4 linked regions of the Rhinolophus ferrumequinum genome follow. The protein of the gene in region 1 purifies or fractionates together with the protein of each later gene. This does not show direct contact. Links are inferred from orthologs where the notes say so. Each region holds a gene or a part of one and is shown in the gene's direction. Other genes may lie near its edges.

Region 1 (7,632 bases):
CGGGCTGGGGTGGGGGAGTGTCCCGTTCTGGGTCTCTACTGTGGCCTGAGGGAAGTGATGTGACGAATGGCTGAGTTTCCCTGTACTCGGCCTTCACACAAGCCTGGTGAGGCCAGGGGTCTCTCCTATTTTCACATGGACAGGTCTTTTCTGCCTGTGACATCTCTGTTTTGTCTCCAGAATCTGGGGTGGGTAGAGAAGTGTTTGAGCCTCAGGCTTCCCATCTGTGAATTGGTCCTATAGCCGCAGAAGGTGAGGCTCTGAGGGTTTTGATTTCACGCAGCTGCACTCAGTCGTTAATGCTGTCACCTGTACGTTATCACTTAGGCTCCACCTGTGCAGGTGCCCACTGTCTCCATCCCTTCCCTGGAGGGTGGGCGGACACTGGAGGAACCTGCTAGTGGCTGGCCACCCCTCTGGTGGCTGATTTCTGAGGGAGAACATGCTTACCTGCCCTGGGCTCCTTCTGACTCTCATGGGACGAGGGCCACTTCTCTACTGTCTTGCATTTAGGCCTTTGGTCCAGTTTGGCCTCGTTCCCTGGAACCCAGGTATGTGCTCACATACACATCCAACATAGGGTCCTCAGCTGTGGCTGCCATCAGTGTAGAGGCGTCCAGACTGCACCTCCCTCCTCCTGTATCTCCCTCCTGAAACTCAGTGACAGCACATCTCCCCAGGCCCTTCTCTGCTCATAACCCTCCATGGCTCCCCACTGCCTACAGCATTTAAGGATCTTCAGGGCACACCCTTGCCACCCTTCCCATCGTGCATTTGCTCATGCCGTTCCCTCTGCCTGGAACACCTTTGTCCCATTGTCGCCAGAAGCCATGTCTTCAGGCTTCTACCCTCTCCACAAACAGCCTCCTTTCTTCACCAGCCCTGCACTCCAACACACAAACTGTGTTAGGGGCCCGTTGTTTGGGCCCCTCAACCCCCACGCTTGCCCAGCCACTGTGCCTAGTGCACTGGTTATGCTTCCCTGCTCCCCCAGGCTGTGAGCAAGTCCAGGCAGAGACCAGACCTGGCTTGTTCGCTGCTGTATCCCTAGCACCTAGCACAGATGCTAGCACACAGTAGATACTCAGTAAATATTGACTGACCAGAGGAAGGAAGTGTAAGCCTTAGTCAGAGGCTAGAGGGTGGGGAGAATTCCAGGCAGAGGGACCAGCAAGTACAGAGGCCTCAGGACGTAATGAGCTGCTGTGATGGCGTGAAAGCAGGGAGGCAGGCTTGATAGAGGAGGGAAGGGGACCAGGGCCTGCAAGGGAGGCCTAATTGGCTATCAAGGGCCAGATCGGCTGGTGCACTTGACAAACTGGACATCTCTGTATAAACTGTAAAGTGCAGGGCTATGGGAGGTGGCAAGCTCACTCCTCAAGCTAGAGCCTGCACATTCTTTCACCCCATCCTTTAGGCCTGAGCCTGGTGGCTTTGAATAGACAACTCATAGCAAACCATTTGGGGAATGACAAGGCTGGTCTGGAATTTCCTGCTGAGTGCCAGTGTTGGGTCCAGCTTCCTGGTCACTGATCTGAGGGTGAGCTGGGCTTTGGGTGGGTGAGGCAAATAGGCCCCCATCAAACCAGAGCCACTAGGGCCCTGCGTGAGATGCAGGCAGCGCCCCTGATCCCATGTCATGGGAAAGCTCTTACCGAAGGGTCTGCTGCCACTTGTGTGAACCCAGGCCTCACTCCACACTTTCCATCCTGCTTTGACCCAGGTGGTGGGAAGGAGGGAAGAGGTTTCTAGAGACTGATGACAGTGTTCAACAGGTGCTCACCATTGCAAGCAATGTTGACATGAATATCCGTCTTCTGCTGGGTGCTTTGGTTTGGGAAATTGCCCTTTCTGGTGTTCCAGGCTTGGCCCAGGGCTGTGTATACCATTGTAGTCAATAAATATTTGCTGTCCATTAATGATGATGAATGATTTGTAGGTATTAAGCAATGAGTTGCTGTTTTACTAACAAGGTTTTAAGCAAAATAATGCACAAAGAGTCACTTATCCACTAGGCCAGGCCAGCAACTCTTGCATTTGCATGATCCTGGGAGTTGGTGGGGTCATTGTCCCATTTCACTGATGAGTAAACTGAGGCTCAGAGAGGGAAGGGTCACACAGTCAATGAATGAAAGCGTTGGAACTTGAACTCTTGTATGTGACTCCCTAGTCAGTATGTTCTCCCCAGCCAACTGGGCAGTGTCTGCTCTATGCTGGGCACAGGCCAGGCCGTAGTCCCTGCCCTTAGGGTGGGGGCAGACACACCCCAAATTGATGGGGTTTGTCGACAAGCATGTCCTGAAGGAGGTGATATTTACTCAGGAACTTGATGTTGGGAAGCTAGAGATATGGGGCGAGCATTCCTGGCAGGGGTTACAGCCTGAGCAAAGGCCCAGAGGGAGGATTAAAAATAATGAATATTTCCAAGGCTCAATAATAAAACCATTGTGTTGGCCACATCCTCCTGAAGTGTCTCCTGAGAATCTCAGCCACTGAGCCAAGCCCTTGGAGCCAGTGGTGGCTCCAGGTGGAGGGCTGCCTCTGTGCTTATAGAACCAAGACTTGTGGAAGTGGCCCCCGCTGCTCCAAGAGAGTATGGAGGGGAGTGAATGATAACATGGGCTCAGGCATACCGAGCTTACAGCACCTCATTTCATCCTCACACGAGTCTTCTGAGAGAAGCACTATCTGTAGCCCATTTTGTAGGCTGGCATACTGAGGCTTAGAGAAATGGCATGCTTAAGGTCACATATCCAAGAAGTGGCAGAGTTGGGATTTAAACACAGATCTGTAGGTCCAAAGTGTGCTTTTAAGCCCTTTGTCATCCCCGCTATAGGAGCCCAAGACTTTCAGTTGAACTCCTGGAGATGAATCTAGTGATGTGCTAGTAAATATTTAACGACCAGCTCTCTGGAAGGGAAAAAAAAAGCCTTAATTTGCAGTGTTTGCTGATTTCCAAGATGTACATGCTTCCACGGTGACTGATATCAACTTACCAAGGTGACGTCATTGATCTTGGAGTTGAAAAGACATGAACACAATTTGCTCTTGCAAATGGCAAGAGCCAGCTCCGTCACACCACTGGTTGAATATCCCACTCCTAGCCCAGTGTGGCCAGGAAAGACCTTCAGACACGTCTGAGGAGTGAATGAGGGCTGAGAAACCTGCTCCTCCAGCCAGGAGCCCGAACAGAATCCTGGGAAGCTGTGGTTAATCTGTAAGCCAGCCTTGCAAACCCGTGCCACCGTTTCACCCGCCCGGGATGGTTTCTGGGGCCGGCTCCCCTGCTGACTTGGAGCCCCATCTCCTCAAGTCTTGGTTTTACCACCCTACCATTTGGTGGGCACAACCTTAGTCAATCCTCACCCTTGTCAGTTTTAACCTCCCTAGGAGTCCTCTGGGACCATGTGCATTCCTGTGACTTGGATAAGGTGCAATAGGTGGGCAACTAGCCTAGATTTGAACCCAGATCAGTCTGGCTCAAGGCCTTGCTGGTCTCTTGGATGCTATTGTGTTCTCTGAGGACTTTGCCTCCCATATTCTAGGCTTCCCCGTGCAGCTTCTCTCAGGAGAAGTCTAGGCCAGGTGCCTTTTAACCTGGCTGGCCCTTAGTTTCCCAGGGGTGAAATGGGGGAACTTTCAGAGAAGGTAAGTGGAGGCAGGTGGTAGTATTTAAGGCTGGCTTCGGGCCCATCTTCCCCGGGGTCATGATTCCAGGACGACAGGTGAAGAGCCAAGGTTTGGGGTGCTCTAATAGGGCAGCTCTGGAGCCTGGGCCAGGAGGTGGTGGGAGGAAGGTGGGGTCAGATTGTGGTGGGGGCAGGCTTCGTGGCTAAACCAGCATTTTCTCAATGTCTGCTTTCTCTGCTATATTCCCTGTCCCCAGCATCCGGATGTACTTTGCCTCTTTATTTACTTAAAAGGGCAATTGTCGGTAAAAACCCGCTTTAGCCCCCTACTCAGTAAGAATATCCAGAACTCGATGGGCTGCCTTAGTTACTTTTTAAAAAGCACATTGAAATGAACACGTATCTATTAAAATAAGTGTTCTCCTCCTCACACTGTCCCTCAGGCCCCAGGCCCCACTTTGGGAAACAGGTCAGGACCAGAGTCCGAAGATAAGATTCTTGTAGGTGACCCCCTTCTCTGTGTCTCAGTTTCCTCATCTGTAAAATGGAAATCATCATCCCCCAGCCTGGCTGGTTGCTAGGAGTGGAGCCTAAAGTCTACCCCATCCACTTAGCATGGCGCCTTGCAAGGAGTGAGCGCTCCATTAGTGCTGATATTATTATTATTATTATAACTCATACTTATAGGAGAGGTGGATTTAGGGTAGATAGGGTGGGTAGGTTGGGGGTAGTTAGGAAGGGCATTTTGGCATGAGGGTGGATGGGGTCTTCCAGGGTGGGGCGTCCTCACGGGGCGGGGTGGGGGCGGGGCTCCTGTGTCCGGGGCCTCCACTCCCCAACCCTCTGCCTCATCTGGACCCGTGGGGTCGCGCATGGGTATCTCCAGAGTCACCGGCGGGGAATCTGTCCCCGCGCGCTTCCTCCTTCCTCCTCCTCCCGGCGGCTTGCCGGGCCCCTCCTCCCTGCTCGCGCTCTCCCTCCCTCCTCTTCCCCTCCCCTGGTCGCCGCCTCCTCCTCCTCCTCCTCCTCCCTTTCTCTCTCGATCTGTCTCTCCCGGCCCGGAATCCATTCCGGCCTGGGAGCCGGAGCGGCCTGGCCGCCGTCTGCCCGACCCCCTGGCCGTCCTGCGGTCTGCCCTCTGGTGCGTCTGTCTGCTGGTGCGCCCGCCTGCCCGCCGGCCCAGGTGAGCTCCCCCGCCCCCCACGCCCCTCCGCGGCCCCCAGGTCCCGGCCGGTGTGGGGGATCCCCCGCCCGGGGACCACCCTGGCGTCGGATCGCCTGGCCACAGGGACTCCAGTCCACCCCCCAACCCCCACACCCCCCGGCGGAGCCCCGATCCCGGAGCGGTGGGCGGGCGCACGGGGATTTGCCCAGCGCGGCCTTTTGTTGTGATGCTAAGGGGGAGGGGGCTGGGTGGGGTGGGGGACGCGGGGTCCTGTCCGCGCGGGGACCTCCTCCGGCTCATCCTCCTCCTACGAGCCCCCTGAGATCAGTGAGCCGGGCCGGAGCCCCCAGGCCGGGTGTAGGCCAAATCTGAAATCTGAGCCAGTCGGCGCCACCTCCACCCGAGGCAGCTCGGCCTGGAGCCCCCGGCCTGGGAGGGGAGGTGGAAAGGGGTCCGACAGGGTGGGCCTGGGAGCACCGGGCCCAGAACATCCAGCCTGGCCCCAGGACTTATCTGTCCTCGTGTGGCTTTGGGTAGGGCCTGGTGCCACCGGGCTAGAACGGACTGGGCCAGACTATGCTTGCTCCCTCCTGTCCGTCCACAGCCCCCAGGCTCCCCCCTGGTCAGGCCCAGCAGCCTGCCTGCTCAGAAGTTGGCAAAAGTTTTGGGTTTTCGCCACCAGGCTTGGTCCATCTGCCTGCCTGGGCTGGTGTTGGGGTGGGTTTGAGTCTCAACAGGGCTACCACTTGCCCTGCTGTGTGTCCTCAGACAACTGCCTGCCCTCTCTGAGCTGGGGGTCTTTATCAGTGGCAGGTGGGCCTAGCTGGAATTGCTGGGCTGGTGGAAGGATGGGGGTGAACAAAAGGAGTGAGCCTCAGTTCAGTGTCTGGGGCCTTCAGGCCAACTTGCGCGTGACAGAGCGTGTGTGTGCCTGGGTGAGGCTTCCTGAGCTTCAGGGACTCTGTACAGTTGGGGCAGTCGTCCCTGAGTGACCTGGGGTGAGTCCAGGCTCAGCCACCGTGAGCTGAGACCAGCCTTGGTTTTACGAATGGGCCATGCTGGTCCTGTGGCTGACCCTCTTCTCAACCTCCTGACTGGGGAGACAAGACACATTGGCTTCTCATCTCACTGGGTGACCTGGGCCAAGGGACTATCCTCTGAGTCCCCATATGTGGAATGAGAATCCTCAGGGGAAGAATCTATGTGTTTCTGCATGTAGGGGCTTGGCTTGTTGTAGGTGCTTAATAAGTGAGTACTTCACTGGATAAATTGTCTAAACTGGGTGGGAGGTGAGGTTGCTGGCCCCAGTGGGGCTTATCTCCAGAAGAGGATGAATTGGTGTCAGAAAAGCTGCTTCATAACTCCTTGAAAAAGAAACAGCTCCAGTGCAATCCTGCCACCCGGCAGCTGTGTGACCTTAGGCAACTCACTGCTCGTTCTGGCCTCAGTTTTAAGTATAAAATGGGCCAACGAGAATGATAGCTGCTAACGTCTACAGAGCATCTCCTGTGAGGGAGAGACTCTTGCTTATCCTCATTTGGTTGATGGAGAAACTGAGGTGTAGCGAGGGCAAGTGACTTGACCAAGGCCACAGAGTTGGAAGCTGGAATGAAAACCACCTAGACCTCAGAGACTCCACTCCGGTTGCCCTTGCAGCCCTCCAGTGTTGTGGGGGCAGGGGTTTCCCAGTATGGGACCAGGCATACCGCGGTGTCGGAAAAGACTACACTGATGAGTGAATGCGTGGAAGCCACGAGGCCTTTTTGGTGATGTGGTGTTCCTTAGTGATGTGATTTTTCCACCCAGGGCAATGATTTATAGTGTGTCACCTCTCTCAGCTGACCGCCTGCCCAGGCCCTCCTGCGTGGTCCCTGGGTCTTTGCTCCTGAAGGTGTCCCTGCCCAGAGTGCCTTTTCCTCTAGGAGCTGCTTATCTGCTCTTGTCCTTGAAGGCTTAGCTTAAGGCCCACCTCTCCCAGGAAGGCCCCCCAGCTCTCTCCTGTCCTCTACTCTGTTCTTGGAGCATGAATTATCCCTAGTTCACAACCAGTTCCTGCTTTTGCTTCTTCCCTGATTGTGACCTGGGGTGGGGTTGGGGGGGTGGTTGTCTGGCTTTCCCAAACCCCAGGAGCCAGGGAGGAGATGGCTCAGAGGCCTGCTGACAGACTCCGCCCCGTGGTCCTCACTTGACCCCGTTTTCCCAAACCCGCCTCAATAAAGCATTCATGACCCCGTATTGGGCACCTACTATGTATGTGCTAGGAGCTTTGGACTCAGGCTGAGCAGTGTGGTGATGGGGTTAGCAGTTGGAGGGAGGCATCGGGAAGCTTCCAGGAGGTGGTGCTGAGGGCAGCAGCAGTTCACTTAACAAAGAAGGGTATAGGGTGCTCTTTCTTCTCTTCTGCTCAGACACTTCCCAGGGTCCCTGGGGTTGTGGGGAGTGGTCAGCCTGAGTAGGCCCTTGCTGGCGAATTGTGAACAGGTCCCTGGCCTCCCAGAAATTTGAGTCTAGAGGGTGAGCCAAATAGCAAACAAATTGTCAAATAAATGAATATATCATCATAGATGTGATAAGGGCTCAAAGAAAGGTGTGGGATACAGAGGAATCTTAAAGGAAGCGAGTAGGAGATGGCCAGGCATGGAGCTAGGGGAAGGGCTTGCCAGGCAGAGGGAACTACATGTGCAAAGGCCCTGAGGTGGGGGAGTGTATGCTTTTGTGGAGAAACAAAGGGAAAGCCTGTGAGTCTGGAGCACAGAGAATTAGGAGGATTGGGTGAGAGGTGAAACGAGGGGTACTAGCAGTAGGGCTTGACCATGTGGGGCCGTGTGAGCTTTGTGG
Region 2 (7,626 bases), about 6.4 Mb from region 1:
CAAGAATTTGGACAGGAGGAAACAGGAATGGTTTGCTCCACAACATCTGGGGTAACAGCTGGAAGACTCAAAGGTGGAAGGTAACTTGACAGCTGGAGGCTGAAATCCTCTGAAGGCTTGGTAACTCACAGTCTGCAATGGAAGCTGGTTGTTGACTGGAACCTTAGCTGGGATGTCAGCCAGAACACCTACAACCGGCGGTACCTCCCAACACGACTGCCAGGTCCCAAGGGCAGCATCCCAAGGGAGACACAGAGCTCTACTGCCTTCCCTAACCTAGCTTTGGGAGTCACACAGGGTCACACCTGCCATATTCTGTTTGGCAAGGCGGTCACATAGGCCTACCCCACCCAATTTCAAGGGGAAATCGACTCCACCTCGTGATAGGGGTGTAGCAAGGCTCTGGAACAATGTGCAGAACTGGAAATGTGGCCAATTTTTGGAATCGCAGTCTGGCACAGCCTATCAGGTTTCAGAATCAGCAGACACCTCTGGGAAAAGGCAAGGAGATCCCCAATACTGGGCTCGTCATCATTCTGGGTGTTTTTCCTCCCCGGTCGTGGCCCCACTGCCCTAGTAGCTCTTCTGTGCCTTTTAAAAATGTTTTTCTCCAGCTTTCCTAGTTCTCAGTGAAAAAGTGTTGGTACCATACAACCCAGTCCCTCTCTGGAAGGGGGGCCCTGGGCAGTGCTTTTAGAATGCACGAGTACACTGTAAAAAGCCTGCATCCCCAAAGTCATACACAGCATATTTACTCATGTGATATACAGACATTAAACACTGTACACATGAAGGTTTAGAAATATGTGACAATGATTATGTTTATATAAACATCGTTGATTACAACTTCATAAAAAGTAGGTATGCATGTGGATGGAGAAGCACTGGAATTGTTCATGGGTAGAGTTATTTGAAAATTAAAGGCAGCTTTGTGTACTTTTTGTAAAGTTAAACACTGATTTTCCCCCCAACATTTTATCATGAAAAATTTCAAAGATACAGCTAAGGTGAAAGAATTTTATAGTGAACACCTGTATACCCACCACCTGGATTCTACCATTAACATTTAAATATATTTACTTTATCATGCTTCTGTCTGTTTTACTAATCTATCTTATTTTTAATGCATTTCAAAGTAAGTTGCAGTCATTAGTACAATTACCTCTAAATATTTCAGAATGCATTTCATTAACTAGAGTTTATCATTTGCAATTTTTTCTTTTCAGACAAAATCTATATGTAATGCTCAGATCTTAAGTGTACATTTGCTGAGTTTTTGACAAACGCGTACACCTATAAATAGTGATATTTTAAAAAACAACTGGGATTATTTTTTTAATCCTCAACAGATCAATTAAAATTAGTGTAAAATGCCTTCTGCCCTGAGGGTCTGCACAGCAGCCCTGGGCCTATAGTGATAGGTGGGGCCAAGTCCTGGCCATCGGTTGGGGCTAGGATTGAGCCTGGGGCCAGGATTTTGGAGCTGGGGTGGAGACTTTAGAAACATCGCTTCTAGTTTAGGATATTAATGGCAGCCCTGGAGTGAGTCAGGGCAAAGGCTCCTACAAGTCACCTTCTCAGGGTAAAGGGGCTGCAGTCTCTTTTAGGTACAAAGCATTGGCAAATGACCCTTGGGAGTAGAACAGTGACTTGGAAAGGCACTCGGCTGTCATTTATTTCAACTTTCTATCTTATTGCCTTACTTTTATTTCGTTACAGCATTTAGGAAGTTTTCTTGTTCACTTGTTTATTGTCTATTGCCCCAATCTAGAATATAAATTCCTGAGAGCAGAGACCTTTTCTGTCTTATTCCCTGCTGTGTCCAGCACATGGTCTGCACTCAATAAGTATTTGCTGAGTAAATGACTCATTATTTCGTTTACTACATGGGGAAAGGAGACCCTGAGAGGGGAAGTGACTTATCTACACAAACAGGAGTTCTTTACCCCCATCCTCCAGTTCTCCTTCTAGTCCAGTCCTTTTCTCATGAACCCTGTGATTTGGGGCACCTGTGGGGTGGCTAACGCGTGGCTGCCTGTAGGTGTATACTCCTGTGCACTAGGACTAAACCAGGGCTGGGCGCGGGGCTTCAGCCTTCCATTGGGTGGGTTGGGTACAGGAAGCCTGCCTCCTCCCCTCCCTCTCTCAGTTCTCTCCTCTTCAAAGAGAGCCTTTTGTCCTCTGATGACAGGGAAGCTAGAGACACCCCAGACATCAGGTAGGACAAGGAGGCAGGCAGGTCTCCACAGGTGAGCAGCTGATGATGGGACTCTGTCCTCTCCCAAAGGAAGCGGACTATGTGGTTGCCAAGCTGAATTCTCCTTCCCCAGGTCTCCAGGATGGGACACCCAAGGCCCTGCCTCTCCTTGGTCTGAGATTCTGTCACCCCTGCACACACACCACAAATACTCTGACCACAGTGCAGCTGTCTCATGGAGAGAAGGAATTGCATTTTCTGAGACAAGGTTACTTGCCAAGATGTACATGCCTGCACTTCTCAGTACAGCTCTGGTCGCCTAGCCAGCCAATGGTGAGGTTTGAACACCTAGGCTCTCTAACACCCACACCCAATGGCAGGATTTTCCCAAGTGTGGTCAGATTGTTTGGAGATCCTTCAGATGATCTCAAGGATGAACACTTTCTATAGCTATTTATGTTAATGTATGTTAGAAAATATAAGCATGTCAAACCCTTTGTAAGGCGGATTGCACAGTTCTGGTGGATGACGGGTGTAAGTAAAAATAGAAATTAACCAAAAGAAACATATCAAGACATAATAGGGTAGGTCAGGTGTAGGTAAGGTAAACTGCTGGTGGCATTTGGTCCTAGGATGCTGCTGCTATCCTAGCTACCCAGGTACCTCCCATACTCACAGTCATTGTTTCTCAGGGTTTCTACACACTTTGAATTCAGGCTTTTCACTTTTCTATTGGTGTGCTGATATACCGAGTTTGGACTTCTTGGGAAGTGAGAATGGTGGGCATATGGAAGAACCTGCCCTCATTGGCTGCTCCTGGGATCTAACAGGAGACTGGGTTTGTGGTCTGGGAGTCTTTGAGCTGGAGTGTTTATCTGGCAGAGGCGCTTTGGGTTTGGCGGTTTCACAACACCTGTGGGCCAGCCCTGCTGAGGAGTGAGAAACCCATCTCTGACTCAAGGAGAGACTTCTCTGCTGGGGAGAGGATGGCTTGAAGGAGGCCCACTGCACCCTGAATTTGCAGGCTATTGACAACTGGACAGCATACACTCACTTATTCCACAAATACAGGGGACAGAGTTTTAAGCTGGTGCCTCAACTGCAGGCGGTGGTGGGGACTGGAGGTGGTAGTGGCATGAATCTCGTGTAAATGACAGCTTATGTGTGCTCCTTCTCTTGCACTGAAATGTCCCCACCGCACTCATCCTGCCATGAGGAATTGCCGCTGGCTACTGACCCTTCCCCTGGCGTGCGCTGAACGTGGAACTGTGCCTGGTAGGAGGTAGGAGAGGGGGGCTCAGAGGGCTGCGGGCCTGGATAAGAGGCTCTGCACCACCCACTCCGGGAAGCGCAGACTCCGGGACTCTGATGAAGGGTTCCCCGCAAGCTCCGTTTGCACACTGCTGTGGGTCCTGGTGTGTCCGAGGGACACCGCGTGGGGTCACAACTAGAAAAGGGTCTCACCCGTCTCCCACCAGAATTGTGCAATCCGCCTTCAGCTGCGGACGCCCAGGTTCTGTAGCCTGGGAACCGGCTGCCGCCAGACATATTGACAGATGGTTTTGGGGAGCCACACGTGGGGCGGAGAGCTCTAGGGAGGAGGTTTGTGCTCCCCCACCCCGTTCCAGCCCCGGTGGTGGTGGGACGCATCTCTGGGTCCTCTCTGAGCTTTGAACCTCCTCTTCCCCGCCAGGCCTATAGAAAACGACACCCCCACCGCAGACACCCATGTGTTGTGTTTCTTTCTACCCAGCTCTGTTATGAGCCAGGCCCCGGTTCGCGCATCTGGAAAGCGGGGGAGATTTCCCTGGGGCTCGGGTGTGGATGAAGTGGGCTAACTTGATGCAAGACGAAACCCACGGTGCCAGGCCGGTTCTAAGGGCTTTGCAGGTTCCTCTCTCTTCCCAGTGAGAGCCCTCGTCCTTTAAATACCTTGCAGCAATTAGCAAGAAAAGAAAAATCCGAATGGAACATGTTTGAAGAGAGGAATGGAAAGACGGCTTTTGGATTCCAGGCTGCCATGGTCGGTGGACATTGATGTAACTGGTATTTGGCCTCAGTTTCCGCATCTGTAAACTGGGAAGAAGGCTCAAGTCCAGGGGGCTGGGACTGTAGAGAGGCGGAAGCCGTACGTGCGCGGGCGGCCGGTGCTCCTGGGGTCCCGCTTCCCCGAGGACCCGGCTGCTGCGGGTGGGGCATCTCCCCAGAACAGGGTCTCAAACCCTGTTCTGAGCCTCTGGCCAGCTAGCGAACGCTTGGAGGCGTGCAAGGGCGGAGCCCGAGAGGGCCGGGAGACGCCCTTCCGGTATAGGCCAATCAGCGTCCGTCTCTGAACGGCCAATGAAGAGGCGCCTTACAGCACAGGCCGGCTCGGGAGCGAGGCTGCGGCGAGTGCGGCGCTGACAGAGACGCGCGCGCAAGAGCCAGCTCGGACCCCGGGCCGCTGCCGCCATCACCGCCGCCTGCCCAGTCGCCCCTCAGCCGCTTCTCCTCGCCATGGAGGCGAGGCCGCCGCCGCCGCCGCGGGGCTCCCAGCCGCGGGCCGGGCGGCGGCCCTGAGGGCGTGTGGCGGGCCGAGACGCCGCCGCGGAACCGAGGCGGAGCCGCCGTCCTCGTCCCCAGCGGTCCCGCCCAGCGCCGGACTCGGTGAGTGTTCACGGCCGCCGCCGCCCGGAGGGGCTTTGAAAGGGGGGGCGGTTCCTAGGCGCGGGTGAGAGGGGTCCCTGGCGGGAGCCCCAATCCCTCTTTTCCGGGTAGAATCCTTCGGGCGTCTCTACCCGGCTCCCACATCCTTGCACTGTTCGGAAAGGGGGTCCCCGGAAACGTGCGGGACAGGGCGCCGACCCCTGTCGACTGCCCAGGAACTTTGCGTGCGTCCTCCTGAGGCCAGGCCAGGGCGCTGCCGTAGTTCATTCTGAAAGAAGAAACTTGGAACAGTGAGAACAGAATTTGCTCAGGTCCACTAAATGGAAAGAGAGAGGAAAAGAAAACTCCTGGCCTGAGAAAATTTGCTGTTGAAGTGGTCAAGTTTTCTTTTCCTTGAAGCCCCCCTTGCCCTTTACCCAGGCCGCTCTTTTTTCCGCCCACTCCCAACTGTTGAGGCTGCTGAAGAAGGGAACTAGGAGCTCAGAGCTGCCCCAAATTCGAAATGAGCCAGTTGGGAATGCAGATCCCCTCCCTTTTTACTTTTGGTAAATAAAGAATATCGGGTTTTGAAAAATTAGTTCCCAGTTGTATCTCCTGAAGATAAAAACATTAATAGCAGAGGTGAGCCCAGTGTTGAGGGTTTTTTGTGTTTTTTTTTTTTTTTTTTTTTTTAAAGTGAGTGATGATGTTTGTAAGACAGTAAAAGAATGTTCCACACCTCCCTAGGCTGGGTGAATGCCTTCAGGAGCCTTTGCCCAGGGTAGGGATTCCTGTTCTAGAACGAGTCCCATCTCCGGGAAGATCTCTTCACTTGCCACCTGCTTGCTGTGAAGGCAGCCCTAGAACCAGAAGATGGTGGGCGGGGAGAGGATTGACGATGGAAGATGGGCGAACATCTTCCTGCCTGGCCACTCCTTTAAAAACACAAATCTGATGCTGTCACTTGTTTACTTAAAAACTCCCTCCCTCTTTTTCCCATGGGATGAATGAATCTCTAAATGTCTTATCAAGTCATACAAGGTTTTGACAGTCTTGCCTCAATTTACTCTCTTGCTTTTAGCTGACTCCTTCAATTCTCCTTCACCTTATCCACCTCCCTAGCCATTCCCAGCTGCTTGTCTGCCTCTTCATATGTTTGGATGCTTTTGCTTGTGTGATCCTCTTTCCTCCCCACCTTTACCTGCCCAGCTCCACCTTTTCCTTCAAAGCCTTTCTCACTACGGAAGCTTCCTGAGATCGGGAGCTGTGTTTTTGTACCTTTTTATCTCCCATACTAAGAGGATTCTTTCTCCCAATTGTCTTGTAGGTCATATCCCATCTCTTCCCCCTTATGTCTTGACTCTGTTTACTTCCAGGTTCCCACTTCCCAGGAGAATCTTTCCTGTTTTCTCAAGGCTTTCTTGGAGTGCATGCCTAGGACTTTTAGTAACTCTGATTCCCCATTTCCATTCCATCCAGCCCCAATAAGTAGTCAGCAGACAGGAACTGGCAGGTCTTTTATCCCGCTGGCCTCCAATCTGCTTGACTGTCTCTAAAAGACCAAAAGTTCCACGGTGACTTTTCACCTCTGCCTACTTGAAGTGAGTGACCTGGCTGATATGTGTTTTCTCAGGCATCGTGGGATCCAGGTGGCTGTTCACTGGGTACCTTTTAGCTACTTATTTACCATATGGGTGAAATTCAGAACCAAAAAAAGCCAACTCTCTGAATAAAGTACGTCCATGCTCCTTCTACTGCTAGGGGAAGCGCTTGTGATACAAAATAAAAGTGAGGAAGTTAAATCTTTACCTTGAAGGAGCTTACAGTCTAATGCAGGACAGGTGGATACAATTACTTGTACATACATCACAGTTAGTATGAAAGTGTAATACTAGCTATTTTATTTGCCTTGTGACAGGATGTGTAATAAATGTTTTACGTGAATTATTTAATCCTTTCAACAGTTATGTCCAGGCTTCTTCCTACTCTACAAGGGTGGAAACTGAGGCCATACAATAGGCAGATGAGGGAATAGTCAGGATTTGAATCTTGGCAGTCTAGTTCCACAGCATCTGCCGGGTGTATAGAGAACATTTCTTCCCTAGGTGGTCCGAGAAAGCTTTCTTGGGAGAGGGACTTTGGGTCATGAAGAGTGCATAGGAGTTTGTGTGTGATAGATAGTAATACAGGAAAGAGGGAGGGAGCAGCACAAGTAGGATTGGAGGCGGAAGGAACCCACTGTCCTTGGGGAGCAGGGAGAAGTTAAACATAGTAGGACTGGGTAGATGGAAGAAGGGTGGGAAATGAGATTAGGGAGAGCTTGATGGGCTGTATGTGCTGTGTTAGAGTTTGGGTAGTAGAAAGCCACTGGAGGATTTTAAAGGAGGTCAGGGACTTGGGTTAACTGGGCTTTGGAAAGGTCATTCAGAGCAGTGTGGTGCCAGATGCTGTTGCCCCTTTAATTCGGGAGACGTACAGAGGCAAAATCATAGCCTCTTAGACCCAGAGGGAGGCCTAGAGAGAATGCTGCTCAGTTTCAAGAAAAGATAATAAATATATAAGAAAAAATTCCAGCAGTACAAGAGGACATATAGAGGAAAACAAGTCTCTCTCTTACCCTGACCTCCCCAGATATGGCTGAAATTTCCAGTTTCTGTGCCTTACATAGACACTGTTCCTTTATAAACACGTGTCTACCTATCCATACTTCCCCCATGATGCACACCAGTCACACCTTGCTCCTTTTTACTTTACAAATTTAGGAAATCATTCCACATTAGGACAAACACTCGTAGAGCCATTCA
Region 3 (7,238 bases), on another chromosome or scaffold:
CAACTGCATCAACGAGGCAAAATGATCTGAAGAAATGAACTTATGTGGTTCTAGTACCAGCAAGTTAATAGTAAGGATATAATGGTATTTTTCTGGATTTGTGACTTTTTTTTTTTCAAATTTATAATCTATTGTGATTTCTTTCCTCATTGTAAATAAATAACCATTTTTTCACATTTCTATTTGTAACTCTGTATTCTTTTTCTTAAGGTGATTAAGTTTATCCCCACAAACCTGTATCCACTCCTCTCTGTTTCATGCATTTCTTGTTTCAATGAAACACATACTTCAGTATTTGCCTAAGAAAAAGTGTGTGAGAGTTTGTTGTTTGGGGTTTTTCTGTGTTTTTTTTTTTTTTCATTTTAGGTGTTGGATGTCTAAAAGTGCCCCTTTTCTGCCTTCTCACTTAATTGATAGATTGGATGGGTATAGAATTCTAAGTTGGAAGTTATTTTCCTTCAGAATTTTGAAGGTATTGCTTCATTGTCTTCCAGCTTCCACTGTTGCTGTTGAGAAATCCAAAGCCATTTTGATTTTTGTTCCTTTGCATGAGACCCATTTCTTGCCTCTGGAAGTTTACAGAATCCTTTCTTTGTTCATAGCTTTCTGAAATTTCACTATGATGTGCCTTGATGTAAACCTATTTTATCCATCGTGCTGACATTCCATGAGTCTTTAAATGTGGAAACTGATGTTATTCAGGCCTGGGGAAATTCTTGAATTCTATCATTGAGAATGTCTTCTGTTTCTTCTGCTCTCTCTTTCTAGGAAACCCATTATTCAGATGTTGGATCTCCTGAACTGAGCCTCCAATTTCCTTAACTTTTCGCTCCTATTTTTATATATTTGGGAGATATTCCAACTCTTCTTCTTCTTTTAAATATCTACTACGATTTTTAAAATTTTCCCAAAAACTCTTTTGTGGTTCCCTGAATATTCATTTTTTATAACATACTTTTCTTGCTTCACAGATGCAGTGTTGTCGGCTATCTAAGGAAGTTAATGATTGTTTTGGTTTGATTTCTTTTCCTTATACAGTCTCTTTCCTTGTTGCTTTTCTCTGTTTGGTTAATTGGTTGATTTTGTCTCTATCATGTTAGACTCTTTGCTTAGATGTCTTGAAATCCTGATTGTCCGGTCATGTTTTAAAGTAAGAGATTAAAAATTGGTGGGGCTTATCAACTGGGAGCTTTATGGTAGGCATCTAGTTAGCCTGATGATGGGGATTAGTGTGTGTATTTTTTAAGTCTTGCCTCTTGGGCTGGTCAGATAATGCAGAATACTCTTTTCATCTCCAGTATGGATGGTAAAGCCCTCTCTGGTGCATTCTGGGAGGCAAGTAGGCGCCAGGGGTCTGGGAACCTTAGCATTTAGAATGCATATGCTCCCTTTCTCTACCTATTTTTCAAAATGTTTCCTAGGTTTTCAGCTACGCCTGGCACTCCTCAGCCCAAATCCCTCAGTTTTAACTCTATAGAAAACAACACTTGAAACTTCTGCTGGGATGAAGGAGGGAGCAGTTGCCCAGCCACAGGGAATGGAGGACAGTTTCCAGGAATCTAACAGTCATACTTCTCAGATAGCTTTCTCCCTGGCTTCTTTGTTTTAGCCCCTCCCTCACCCTCTTAACCCAGAATACTTTGTGCTGCTAGTTCCTGAGTTGTTTTTTGTTATTGTTGTTATTGTTTTTGTTAGTGTAGTTTAGTTTTGTTTTTTTTTTAAAGAATCCCACTGTATAAATCATGTTATTTCTCTATTTCCCCCACTACTGACTTAGGGTTCTGCTGTCTCCAGGCTCCTAAGTCAATTATCATTTATCCATCTGCTTTCCAGCTTCCAAGAAGATTTTGCTGTTGTTTCTCTCTTTTCTCCCCATCTTTGTAGGCTTATGCCTTTTCTTTCTTTTTTTTTTAAGCCTTGTTTTGTAGCTTTTGTAGGGTTTCTGGAGGGGTCAAAATCACATGGCACAGTCTGTTTCAAAACTCACCCTGTAAGAGTATAACATCACCATCAAGCTAAGGGAAGCCCCCTTGAGCAACTTGAGAAAACTGAGTAATTAGCTCTTTCAACTCGCTTTAGCCTGAAGTGTCCCAATATATTCCTTCATTGTTTATTACAATAACATGTTACTTATATTAGACAAAACAAAAAACAGCAAAAAAACCTCACCCTTTAATCTGTCTTTTTTCCCCCCTAGCAACAGACTGTAGCTGCCTGAATTTTTTCTAGTTCAGAAATAATCTTTTAAAATTGACTCCTTCCATTCAGCCATATTTGTAAAGACAAACCATTTCCATACCTTGGCAATGCTTGCTCACACTCCACTCCAGGAACCAAGACATCTTGACTTCAACTATGTATAATAGTTAGGTTGTCATGCAAAGGATACTGAGATGCCTCCCTACTTTTTTTTTTTTTATCTCTGTCTCTTTGCTGCCATTGTCTGGGACCATCACTAATCCTTCACATCTGAGAATTATTGACTCTTGAGTCATTTACAGAAAATTAATTTCACTATCCCAGGGAGGCCAGTTAAGTAAACTTTGGAGAAATGAAATAACTTGTTTACTAGGTTTAAAGTTGTCAAGCAATATTTCTAATATTTCCAATTCAACACTGTCACTCTATATCATTATTTTTATTATGATTATTGTTATTATTGTGTGTGGGAAACAATGGTGTTATGAATGCTAGGAAAAGATGCTGGGGTATAGATGCCTGCTTTATAATTAGAAAAAAAAAATCTGCTTTCACTCTCCTTCAGCATAAACATTTTTAAAGGATGTTAGATTTATTCAAGATTTCTTTCTCTTGATGAATTTTCCTTTGATTCTGTGGGCGAGCCTCCCCACTTTTCTCATCCTTTTCCTTCTCTCTAGGACGGAGTTCCCTCATCTATCTGCCTGATGAGGAAAGTGGACTAAGAGATACACTCTGAGGTCCCCTCAGTTCACAATCCAGTCCCTTCCATAGGTCGAGGCTGAGTAGGGTCATGTCCCAGACAGTCTGGACATCTCTGCCTCCCTCATGGACTGTGGACTTCCTGCGAGCAGTGTGCTTTATTCTCAGCATTGAAGACACGGAGAAGGAAGGAGGTGAAGTTCCTAAGAAATGATGTATCACCCTTGTTCAATGAGAGTAGGGATAGCCTGAAGAGGCTCAGTTTCCCCAAGAATTAAACAGAAGTTGGGGGTGGATTATAGACTGATGCTCTTGCACGTGCTCTGGTTCCTGTCTCCGTCCTCCCAGGTTGTTCTGGTGACTCTGGCCCAGTTTCTGGCTGCCCCCAGGCACAGGTAGCCCCAGGGAGTCCATGGAGTCATTTTGGAAGAATAACGGTCTGCTAGCTGAGAGTCCCCAACCAACCACTGCCTCTTCCTGTGGCCCTGCGACCCTGGACTTGGTGTGTAGCCTACAGAAGCCAGAGACAGGAGGTACACCTGCAGGTGGGAGGAGGGAAAGGAGGCTTGTGCCATTGATTTTTTTTATGGCCCAACTACTGGCTTAAATGCCCACTGTCAATACCACACGGAATACTCCACTCACAACTCAAGAAAGGGCCCCTTGTGGACCTGTTTAGGTTTCTTCTCTTGGCCCTTTCCAAACTCGTGCATTTATTCACTCACTCATTCGTTTGTCCTTCATAAATTTAACAAAGCCATTCCATTTGTGGAAAACCCTTCCTGTCTTGTCAAATCCTGCCTTTAAATTACTCACTGGCCTGGGGATCCGGGACAGGTTGCGTAACTTGTCAAGTCTGTTTCATCCATAATGTGGAAGAGTTGCTGTGAGCATTAGAAATGCTGCCGATGGAGTGGCTGGAGTAGGCTGCCGGCTCGTAGTCCTGCAAAGAGCAGCTATGGCACCGGCTTTAAAGTCCAGTGAGCCTCCACCCAGGTCAGGTAGCAGAGGAAAGAGAACAGAGGAGGAAGCCAGAGCTTGGGTGATCTACAAAAATTCCCTGCAAAATGGGGAGCACCTTGGCCTTCTTCTTCTGGACAGCGAAGGGAAGGCAGACTGGCTTCTGCCAAGCACGACCTTCAGGCCTTCAGACAAAAAGACCTGAGTGATCACTCTCAGCCTTTAGAGGGAGGTGGAAGCCCGGGAAGGTGGGGACGAGTCCCAGCACCCCGGGCGGGAGAGGCGGGTGCTGAAGCAGGAAGGGGAGGAGGAAAGAGGGGAGGGGAAAGGTCCCGCCAGCTCCAGCTCCCCTGGCGCAGGGCGGTGCCCAGGACTACCCGCCCGCACGCAGGTGAGCGAGTCGGGGCGGGGCGCCGCGCAGCCGGTTCCAGGCTCGGGCGCCCACGGTCGCCGCTCCGAACCGCCGGCCACAGTCGCTTTCCCCGCCAAGGCCGAGGATCCGCGGAGCCATGGGCGGCCTGAACTGCGGGGTGACACTCGCACTGCTGGGGGTCCTGTTGCGGGGCGCTGCGCTCCTGCCACGCCGAGCGGGTGAGTGCGGGTCTGCGAGCGCGCGTGGCGCTGCGTGGCCGAATGGCCGGCTAGCCTGCGTCCGGCGGGGAGGGGACCAGGGTGCGCCGGGCGAGGAGGGTGCAGAGTTGGAGCGGGGACAGCCCCGTCGGGATGCACAGATGGCGCGGGGTTCCCGGTACTTCCCGGCCTCGGGGCGCGCCGCGTCGGGCCCGATGGCGGTGCCCTCCTGGATTCCGAGCGACCTCGACCTGGGCGCAGGCCGGGGCACGTGGGAATGTCCCCGAGCCAGGAGACCCGCAGTCGAGAGGAGGAGCCCGACGCCGACCCAGAAGGAGAAAAGAAGAGCGCGAGGAAGCCGAGTCCCCGGGGGCCCGAAGTGGCGCGCCGCGCGCTCGGGATCTTTACCTGGATGACTGTGGGCTCCGGGGCAGGCTGGGCGTGGGGGGGAACTTTGCTCTCTGGTCCACCCTCTACCTCCTCGCCTGGGCCAGAGAGAAGGTGCCAGGAAAGTTTGCGTCTCAGTATCCCATCGCATCACCTCTTCTCCTGTCCGCACCCCCCATTCTCGCGCCCCTGAAGTTCAGGAGCACGAATCGAAGATGAAAGCGCCGAGGCCCCCCAGGCCCCCGCCTCTCGCACCTGGTGTAGTGAACTTGGACGCACAAGGGGGTCGGTAGAGCCGGGCGTCCCAGAGATAGGTGTGAATTTCGAGTTGTTCCGGTTGGGGGAGGGACCACCGCATCCCAGCTGTCTGTGTTTCCGAGTGGGGGGGCGCGAGGAGGTGCCCCGTGGGTGCGGGAAGTATTAAGACAGTAAATAACCTGGTTTCTTGTCAGAACTTGAGGCCTTTCCTGAGACTAGCACAGGTTTTGTGTTTTGTAAAGAGCTACCCAGGAAGCGATTTGGGTCTTCGATTATTACCCTTTGCTGAATCTAAGGGGGCGTTTGTATTTTACAGGTAGGTAAATTAGGGTACATTAAATTAAGGAATAAAACTGAGCGGGTGAGGTGAACTTAGGCGTTTCGGTAACTGCCATCATAAATCCGAGACAGGAAAGCTTCCTGGTTTTTTCTCCTACAGCATCAGGTGACATACTGCTGCCAAGTACATAGAACATTTTAAAATGGCCTTTAAAATATTGCGTGCATATTTACTGTAATTTAAGACTGAGTTTTCAAGATTTCCTTTGAAGAAAAATGTAAGTTTAAGAATAAAGAGTAACTTAATGAGTGAAAATGTGTGTGAGAAAAATGTGTAATCAAAGCATTACTAGTGACAAGGATAGCCTGTCCTGCACTGGCTTCTGTTACCATCTGATGTCTCCCTGTGGCCTGGAAAGACAGCCATTTGGTCTCCAGTAGCTCCAGTGGAGTCCCTTCCAGGAATTTCTTGACTGTGGGAGTCATATCTCATGGTTCGGTGTATAAATACAAGGAAGCCTAAAAAGTTTCCCATTTCACATTCTTAACACCTGTCTGGGGTCTCAGGAACCGGCCCTGTGAGGCTACATTGCCAGACTTAACTGACGGATATGGCTTTGTGATTGGAGCATTCGCCTAGTGTCTCTGCTTTGTTGAGGTCTTGGGGTTGGACCCCGTGGGGGCCTTTGAGAAGTTACTGGAGTCAGTCCTCAAAGGGTGGAGAAAGCCAGAGTGAAAATGAAGTTGTTCTCACGGCAGAGCTGAAGAGTAAAGGAAAGTTTGTGTCTTGGTGTGGTGCATTTGTGTGAGTTTGCTATTCTTACCAGCTCCCCCACTTGCAAGAGTGAAGGACTGGTTACGTTGGAATCATAGCCTTATTAAAATCTCAACTTGGTGGCTTTCCAAGAACCACTCAGATACCAAAGTTTGGGTCAGTGACCGCACTCTTGCTGCCATTGCTTTGTGCCAGAAATGTGAGCAGACATCAAATGAAGTGTTTGCTCACCCTGAATGTGTGTTCGTCATTCTTCACATATTGAGGAGCTGCTGGCTATTGTCTGGAGTGTGTAACTGGCAGGACTGATGAGTCCCACCCCCCTCACACCCCCACAGGTTTGCATGACTTGGCGTCAGAGGGTTCACCTCAGATGCTGCCCTTTCGTCTTTGATGACTGTACCTTGCCCCCCCACACACACACACAACCTTTCTAGGGGTTCTCCCAGGCTTCAGTGTGGGGGAAGGAAGTTGAAAACAGTAATTAAAATATTTTAAGTAATATTAATATATAGTTGTTGTAGAAAAATTGGCAATAAATATGAGTATAATCAAAAGGGGGAAAAATCATCTGTGAGCAAACCATCATGGTCATTTTGGTGCAGTCTCAGTGTGTGTGTGTAAAACGAAAAATGGGACCATGCCCTTATTCCAGTCCCCTGTTGTTGGACAATTAGGTTGCTTTCCATTTTTCCTATTAAAAATAGAACATGTCCAACAATAGGAGAGACTGCTTATATCAATTTCGATAGGTCTGTTCAGTGAAAAGACATTAAAAAGTATGTAGCACAGGTTTTATAACGACTTGAAATAATGTTGCCTTTGTGTCAAGGTTATAAAATAGTATAAGCTGGACTGTCCCATTTTGATATATCTGAGAAAGTGTTCTTGCGGTTGTATTGTTCTGCGCATTCTCAACTGCTTTGTCCAGCTAAAATTCTGGAAGTAGAATTGCTGGGATGAAGAACAGAGAAAATGTTAGGGCGTTTACATATTTCCATGCTGCCCTGTGGAGAGCTTGTCCTGTTGTTCTGGTGTATGTTCGGGCCAACAGTGTGAATGCCTGTTTTCTACACTCTTCCAGGCTGTCATCATTGTTTCACTAGCC
Region 4 (7,560 bases), on another chromosome or scaffold:
TAAGTTATTTAGGATCGCTGAGTCTTAGGTTTCTTCTCTGAAAAAAAAAAAAGGGAATATTTGATGGAATAACATATCTTAACCATGCGCGAAGTGCACCTTGCTTCCGGGGAGAACTTAATGCGTGGAGGATGTCAGACCTGGCGGGTTTCTCTAACTTGGCCATGCCATGGTCCTTTGTCAGCAGAAAAAAGAATTCTTCATTTCAGTGCCCCCAGAGCCAGGCACTGGTGGGGGCTGTGTGAATGTGGACCAGTTAATGATAAGTGGAGAGCCATTAGTTAAAACAAAGCAGAGGCCCGTTTGGGGTGTACAGTGGTGTTCCTGACTCAGCCTGATGGTAGCTGGGAGCTGCCCCTAGGAAGCCTTTTCTAAGCCTAATACCCGCTGATCCTGACAGCCAAAGAGAAGTATAGGCAGGAGAGATCCCTGGAGTCCTAGAGAAAAGGACTCACCTAGAGAAAAGGATCATCACCAGCCATCATCTTTTTAAACTTCATCCATCCTCACTCTAGACTAATTCTCTCTTAGAGCAGTCATCCAAAAACATTCAACCTGTATTTATTTATTGAACACATACTGTGCTCCAGGCACTATGCTATGCCCCAGGGATCCAGTGTCAATAACACAAATAAGATTTCTATTCTCGATGAAGTTATTTAAGTGAAGCAGAGGATGAGTAAACAGACCGTTATAAAGTGTGGGAAATGCTGTGAAGGGGGACACATTGGGCGTGGGTGTTGGGGAGCATCTAACCCAGACATAGGGGGAGTCAAGGAAGGCTTCCTGGAGAAGGAGATAGCTGAGCAGAAGACATAGCACAGGCGTTCTAACAGCTGACACAGCAGGCCTGGGGAGGGATCTAAGGAATCATAGGGATGTGGACTCTGGATTGTAAATTGCAGAAGCAGAGACTCTGACATCAAAGGATTCCGTCTAGGATCCATATTTCTCTACTTTACTTACAATGTTTTTTCCAGACTCTCCTTTCACCAAGACTTGAGACATATCTTGCTAGGGAAGCCCTCACATTTTTATAAAGTAATTTATGCTTATGGAAAATAAGGGACATAAAGAAGTGGGTGGGTAGGTGGAGGGAGTCTCATTCAACCCCTATTACTTTCCTTTCATTCATTTTTTGGGGTTTGTTTTTAGTATTCTTTAAAATTGAGGTATAATTTACATACCATAATATTCACAGTTTTAATGTAAAATTTCGTGGTTTTTAGTACATTCACAAGGTCTTATAGCTATCATCACTATCTAATTTCAGAACATTTTTGTCACCCCAAACACAAACTCCTGCCATCAGTAAACATTTATTATTTCCCACTTCCACAGCCCCGGGCAACCACTAATCTGCTTTCTGTTTCTATAGATTTGCCTATTCTGGACATTTCCTACAAATGGAATCAAACAATATATGGTCTTTTTGTCTGGCTTCTTTAACTTAGCGAAATGTTATCAAGTGTCATCCATGTTGTAGCATGCATCCATATTTTACCTCTTTTTGGAGCTGAATAATATTCCATTGTAGGTGTGTACCACATTTAGAAAAATACATTCATCAATTGATGAACATTTGGGGTTTTTTGTTTATTTGTTTGTTTTTTACCCTTCATTACTATTATGAATAATGCTGCTCTGAACATTTATGTACACATTTTTATGCAGACATCTGTTTTCAGTTCTCTTGGGTATATTCCTAGGAATGGAATTGCTAGGTCATTGTTAACTCCATGTTTAACTTTTTTCCAAAGTGAGTGCGTCGCCTTATATTACTACCAGCAGTATATGAGGGTTCTAGTTTCTCCACAGCCTTGACAATACTTGCTTTTGTCTTTTTTGGGTTATAGCTATCCTAGTGGGTATGAAGTCTCACACTGTGGCTTTGATTTGCATTTTCCCAATGACTAATGATGTTGAACATCATTTCATGTGCTTATTGGCCACTTGTATATCTTCTTTGGAGAAATGTCTATTCAAATCCATTGTCCATTTCTTACTGGGTTATTTCCCAGTTTCTAACTGGGGTTTCTAACTGGGTTATTTGTTTATTAATGAATTATAATAGGGTCTTTATATATCCTGGATACTAGAACCTTATCAGATAACATGATTTGAAAACATTTTCTCCATTCTGTGGATTGTCTTTTCACTTTCTTGACAGTGACCTTTGGAGCTCAAAAGTTTTTAATTTTGATGAAATTAATTTTATCTATTTTTTCACTTTAGTTGCCTGTGCTTTTGGTGTCATATCTAAGAAACCATTGCTTAATCCAAGGTCATGTTTCCTTCTAAGAGTTTTATAGTTGTACCTCTTATATTTAGGTCTTTGATCCATTTTGAATTAATTTTTGTATACAGTGTAAAGTAGGGGGTTTAACTTCCAATTTTTTTTTTTTTTTTTGCCTCTGGGTATCCAGTTGTCCCAGCATCATTTGTTGAAAAGACTTTTTTTCCCCATTGACTTGTCTTGGCTCCTTTGTCAAAAATCAATTGACCATAAATGTATGGGTTTATTTCTGGACTCTCAAATTTGTTCCATTGATCTATATGTCTATCTTTATGTCAGTATTACACAGTTACTATTATGATAGCTTTGTATTAAGTTGTGAATTCAGGAGTGTAAGTCCTCCAACTTTGTTGTATTTTTATTTTTTCAAGATTGTTTTGGCTATTCTGGGTCCTTTGCATTTCCATGTGAACTGTAGGATCAGCCCGTCAATTTCTGCAGAAACGTCAGCAGGAATTTTGGTAGAAATTTCATTGACTCTATAGGTCAATTTGAGGAGTATTGCCATCTTAACAACATTATGTCTTATTATTTTTTCTTTTGGTATGTATTGAGTATAAATTGAGCTCATGCCAATGTACTGCTTTGAATGCTGATTTATTTTGCTCAGTATTCCATCATAGGCATTTCCTTGTGTTACGAAAGATGCAAGCGTACTTTCACTACATAATATTCCACTGTTTGGCTGTATTACATGGGATTATAAACTCTTGGTTGTTGGGTAATCTGTCACAGAAGGTGCTTTGTTCTGAGTCCCTCCTGGTGCAGGCTTCTTCCTACAAGCACAAATAGACTCTGGGAGGACTTGTGGCTCACAGAATAGCAGCAAAATATTAGTGTCAATGTTGATCAACAGGTACCCCAAACTGCAGGTGGGGAGTGGGGATCACTAGAGAAGACAACATTCTCGATCACGGAGAACTGACCTGCCAGCCTTTCTGGCAACACCACCCTGATGGAATGGAATCAGGAAACAGGATCCAACAGACGGTAGACACTGATAAAGCATGTTTGTTTTAGACGTGTTAAAACATTTGCAGCATGAAATTCATTTCACATTGGAACTCAGTACACCTAACGTGAAAGTTTCACTAAATAATACTTTGTATATCAGCTGAGAGAAGCTGGTCTGCTGTAGTAACAAACAACCCTCAGGTCTTAGTAGTGCAAGAGCTTTCTTTCTCTCTCATGCTATAATACTTGTCTGTCGTGTAGCAGGAGTGCCCTGGAATTTAGGTTGCTGGAGTCTTCCCCATCCAGATCATTGTTGGTTTCAGTGGCAGAGGAAAGAGGTTGTGTAGGCAGACGAATGGTTCCCCAAAGATGTCTAGATCTTAATCCTTGGAACCTTTGAAGACGTTTTATTACATGGCAAAGGGGGATTACAGTTGCAGATGGAATTAAGGTTGCTAATCAGTTCACTTTAAAATAGGGAAATGGGAGGACGAATGTATTTATAAGGGTCTTTAAAAGTAGAAGAGGGAGGCAGAAGAGGTCAGAGTGATGCAGTGTAATAAGAACTTAACCTGCTGGCTCTGAAGAGGGAGGACGAGGCCATGAAACAAGGAATGCAGGCAGCCTCTGAGAAGCTGGAAAAGTCAAGGAAACAGATTTGCCCCTAGAGCTTCTGGAAAGGAATGTAGCCCTGCTGACATCTTGATTTTTAACCCAGGTACAATTTGAATTTCTGAACTACAGAACTGTAAGATAAGCTTATATTGTTTTAAGCCACTAAGTTCATGGTTATTTGTTATAGACTCTATGGAAAACTAACACAAAGGGTATGGGGAACCATGCACCAGCTGGTAAATGTTTCTGCCTAGAAGTGACATATGGCACTTCTACTCATATTTCATTGGCCAGAGCAAGCCACATTGGCATGCGTAACTTCACAGCACTGGAGAAATTTGCCCAGCCTAAAGGGGAATGGACAGTAATATCTATTATACCTTTGCTATCTGCATCTCATGCTTACATCTTCTATTCCATTCCATTAAAACAACAAAGGCAAAGGGCTGGTGGCAATTCTTTAAGTTGATTTCATTATCAATTTAAGGATTGACCCCTGGTTTGAAAAATACTGCTTTATAGACTCCTCTGCCCATGCCTCATGGACCACATGACACACCCTAGGCAGAGCTGATTGGCCCAGGTGTGGGACACCTGATCAAAGGTGACCAATGAAATTCCTCTCCTGGGAATTTGGATTTGGGCCATTTAGCAGTTAACAGTGGGAAGCTGAGTGAGGCAGAGTAGAAACAGGGTCAGAGTGAGAGCCAGATGCAAGCCAAAATGATGGAAGAACAGAAAAGCCCTGAGTAAGCACAGAGAGTTGGTCCACAGAGACAATGGATCAACCGCACAGAGAGCAGTGCAGCCGGGAGAATATGCAGCCCCAGAGGGAGAGGTGGAGAGAGAGAGCAACCGTCTGAGAGGCTGATGGCTTCCCCGTTTCTGACTCCAGCCCCAGTGCATCCTGCCTGCGCGTTCTTCCCGTGAGATTTCTTTTCTCCTTATACCCTCTTCTCCTTTTCTTGAGCTGCCCTCGGTGGGTTTCTGTTCCTAGTCTCCAGGGAGCCTCAATCAGCTAGAACACCAGCAGAATTTCTCTTATGGGAACAGGTCTTGACTCTGAGAATCAGGCTTGGGGGGCATAGATGGAACTTGGGGGTGAAACAGACCCAGCCGTCCCACAATCTGGAAGATTAGCTTTGATCACAGTCTCGCGTGTTTATCCTAGCTCTTCAGAGTGGGCAGGCAGAAGCCATCTGTGTGGTGCTGCGCACGTGGGCGTCCCAGTGATCTGGAAACACCCCCAGAGGGGCCTTTTTTTCTGACAGCGTTGGGGTCAGGAAGCTGGTGAAGTTGCTTCAGGGGGGGCTTGGCTGTGCGCTAGAGTGGAAAGGACAGCGTGGAGACGGGCAGCCACCGTTCGCTTGTCTGAGCCTCAATTTCCTCATCTCTCAAGTGGGATTGTTGAAAGATCAACAGTGTTCTGGGAAAAATACTTAGAGACAGGACTAGGGCATAACACACTCTCAGGTCATGGCAGCTGCTGTTGTTGCTGAGGAAGCCGTCCGTGTGTCAGTTTCCTGAGGAGGTGGCCCCCCAGGGGGCTGATTGAGTTAGCCACAGGACATTCCCCCCACGGGTCATGCTTCCTGCCTCTGGTCACCCTTAATCTCCTTCTCACCCCTTAATGAATAATGGCTCTTTCATTTCTTCCTCTCCCCTCCCCTGCCCTCGTTTTCCCGATTTTCTGCTCCTGATGTTGGAAACACCTGCTTTAGGAAAGCAGCAGGGTTGGATATAAAGTAGCCATCCTCTGGAGGAAGCCGGGCAGAATTAGCTCGGAATCCTGACTTAGCCCCTTGCTTGCTGTGTGTTCCTGGGCAAACTACTGCATTTCTCTGAACCACTAGTTCATGATCTATAAAATGGGCGTTATAATGCCTACGTCGCAGTGCTGTTAGGAGAAATAATGAGGCACTCAACAAACGCTAGCTCTTTCTTACCGCCCTTCCTCCCTTCCTGATTTTCAGTCCTCCCAGCCTGGCTCCCACCCTCTGCCTGTGGCCCAGAGGTGGATCTCTGGTCTCCTTTGCAGGTCCAGCCCAACTTGGGAGCTGCTGGTCGAACCGTGTGATCTGTATTTTTTCTCACTTTAGCAATTATTATACCCCAGCTGACTATGGCATCTTCACATTCCACATCTGATAAATATTTATGAGGAGGAGAAAAGCTCAGAACTCCTAGGGGAGGTGGGGGAGGGACGTACCAGGCTCTTCTTTGCAAGCCAAGCTCAGACGCATCCACGGTTCCTTGGGCCTCAGAAGTAAGGGGTGTGTGTGGGGGGATATGCTATTGGAGGCAGTACAGAGCCACCACCAGCTCCTTAGAGGAGCGACTGTCACAGTGACAATGTAAACTCACCCCGCCTTGCTGGACCTCTCGCTCCTGGGGAAGGATTTGGGCTGTGTGATCCTGCTTGGCCACATGTGGGCTGGCTCCATCTCTCTGTCTGCTCTAGCTCTCTCTGCTTGGGACTGTTTCTCCCTATCGTTTTTTGTTCATTTGTTTTTTTCATCTCTCATTCCATCTTTTATTTTCACACCTCCCGGAGCATGTCCCTCTCCTGCCCTCTCCCTCCTCCCTTCCCTCCTCTAATACTTTCCCCTGGGTCTCTGTCTCTATCTTTCACTTTTCTTCTCTCCCTCCAAACATTATTCTGAGCATTTCTGGGGCTTGATGATGGGCGATAGGTGAGGGGGTCTCAGGCTCCCAGACCCAACTGGAGGGAGAGGGCAGGGGGAGCTGCTGGAGCTAGCAGCGTGCTGTGGAAGGGTGAGCGCTTGGCGGGAGCTGGAGACCTCACCTCCGCCTAAATCTGCATCCAGTGCTCTGTCTGCTGTGTGGCCACGGGCACAGCCCCTCTGTTTCCTGGGCCTCCGTTCCTCAGTTAATTCCAATATTCAATCATTCATTCATACATCCACTCAACTAATATTTATGGAGTGCTTGCTGCCTGCCATTCATTAACACGTTTATTGAACACCTACTAGGTGCACCCATCTAGGCACTTGGCATATATATCAGTGGACAAAAGAGACAAAGATGCCAGCCCTCATGGAGCTGGTACGTCAGCAGAGTAGACAGGCATAGATGTAAGCAGCCATGACGTAGTAGGTTAGGAAATGGTGAGTGCTGTGGAAAAAGGAGAAATAGAGTGAGAAGGAGTGGGAGTGGGGGTGGGTACAGGCTGAAGCCCCATCCTATCAAGCTGGGCAAGCCGATCTGTGAGGGGAGAGAGTCCCAGGGGAGGGCACTGCTAGAGCAACGGCCCTGAGGCAGGAGCCACCCTGGTGTGGTGGGGGCACAGCAAGGAGGTTCCGTGGCTGGAAGAGTGAGGGAGGAACGTGGGAGGGGAGGCCAGGAGCTGAAGGATGGCAGACACGCAGACAAGGCTTGTCCTGTGTGAGCTGGGAGGACCCGGAGCAAGTGCGCAGGACGGTCTGACTTACATCTTGAAAGACTCTCCACATGCCCGTTGAAGAACAGACTGAAGGGGCCCAAGCCCAGGAGACCTGTCATGGCAGTGATGCTGGCTTGGGTGAGGGTAGCGGAGGAGATGGGGAGATCTGATCATGCTCTCGAGGCTCGGATGGTGCCTGAGAATCGCTCCAGGCCTCTTGTCCTCCGTCCTGCTGAGGGACGGCCTGCAGCAGCCTTCACCTGCGTGGGATATGCTAACTCTGGCCTTTCCT

What was found.
Region 2: the proteins of SRC (region 1) and PTPRA purify together in Homo sapiens (co-immunoprecipitation; 4 studies listed by BioGRID and IntAct, with this or other methods). This does not show direct contact. The link is inferred for Rhinolophus ferrumequinum from reciprocal best matches to the Homo sapiens genes SRC and PTPRA.
Region 3: the proteins of SRC (region 1) and CDCP1 purify together in Homo sapiens (co-immunoprecipitation; 4 studies listed by BioGRID and IntAct, with this or other methods). This does not show direct contact. The link is inferred for Rhinolophus ferrumequinum from reciprocal best matches to the Homo sapiens genes SRC and CDCP1.
Region 4: the proteins of SRC (region 1) and ARRB1 purify together in Homo sapiens (affinity purification with western blotting; 3 studies listed by BioGRID and IntAct, with this or other methods). This does not show direct contact. The link is inferred for Rhinolophus ferrumequinum from reciprocal best matches to the Homo sapiens genes SRC and ARRB1.

What each region holds. Positions count from the first base shown.
Region 1 is NC_046306.1:18,599,368-18,606,999, reverse strand, and holds the start of SRC (proto-oncogene tyrosine-protein kinase Src), read left to right. Parts: upstream 1-4,628; 5' UTR 4,629-4,812; intron 4,813-7,632. UniProt on the Homo sapiens protein: Non-receptor protein tyrosine kinase which is activated following engagement of many different classes of cellular receptors including immune response receptors, integrins and other adhesion receptors, receptor protein tyrosine kinases, G protein-coupled receptors as well as cytokine receptors.
Region 2 is NC_046306.1:25,041,493-25,049,118, forward strand, and holds the start of PTPRA (receptor-type tyrosine-protein phosphatase alpha), read left to right. Parts: upstream 1-4,608; 5' UTR 4,609-4,843; intron 4,844-7,626. UniProt on the Homo sapiens protein: Tyrosine protein phosphatase which is involved in integrin-mediated focal adhesion formation.
Region 3 is NC_046300.1:9,845,528-9,852,765, forward strand, and holds the start of CDCP1 (CUB domain-containing protein 1), read left to right. Parts: upstream 1-4,232; 5' UTR 4,233-4,370; coding exon 4,371-4,452; intron 4,453-7,238. UniProt on the Homo sapiens protein: May be involved in cell adhesion and cell matrix association. May play a role in the regulation of anchorage versus migration or proliferation versus differentiation via its phosphorylation.
Region 4 is NC_046294.1:50,017,911-50,025,470, reverse strand, and holds the start of ARRB1 (beta-arrestin-1), read left to right. Parts: upstream 1-4,551; 5' UTR 4,552-4,735; coding exon 4,736-4,791; intron 4,792-7,560. UniProt on the Homo sapiens protein: Functions in regulating agonist-mediated G-protein coupled receptor (GPCR) signaling by mediating both receptor desensitization and resensitization processes.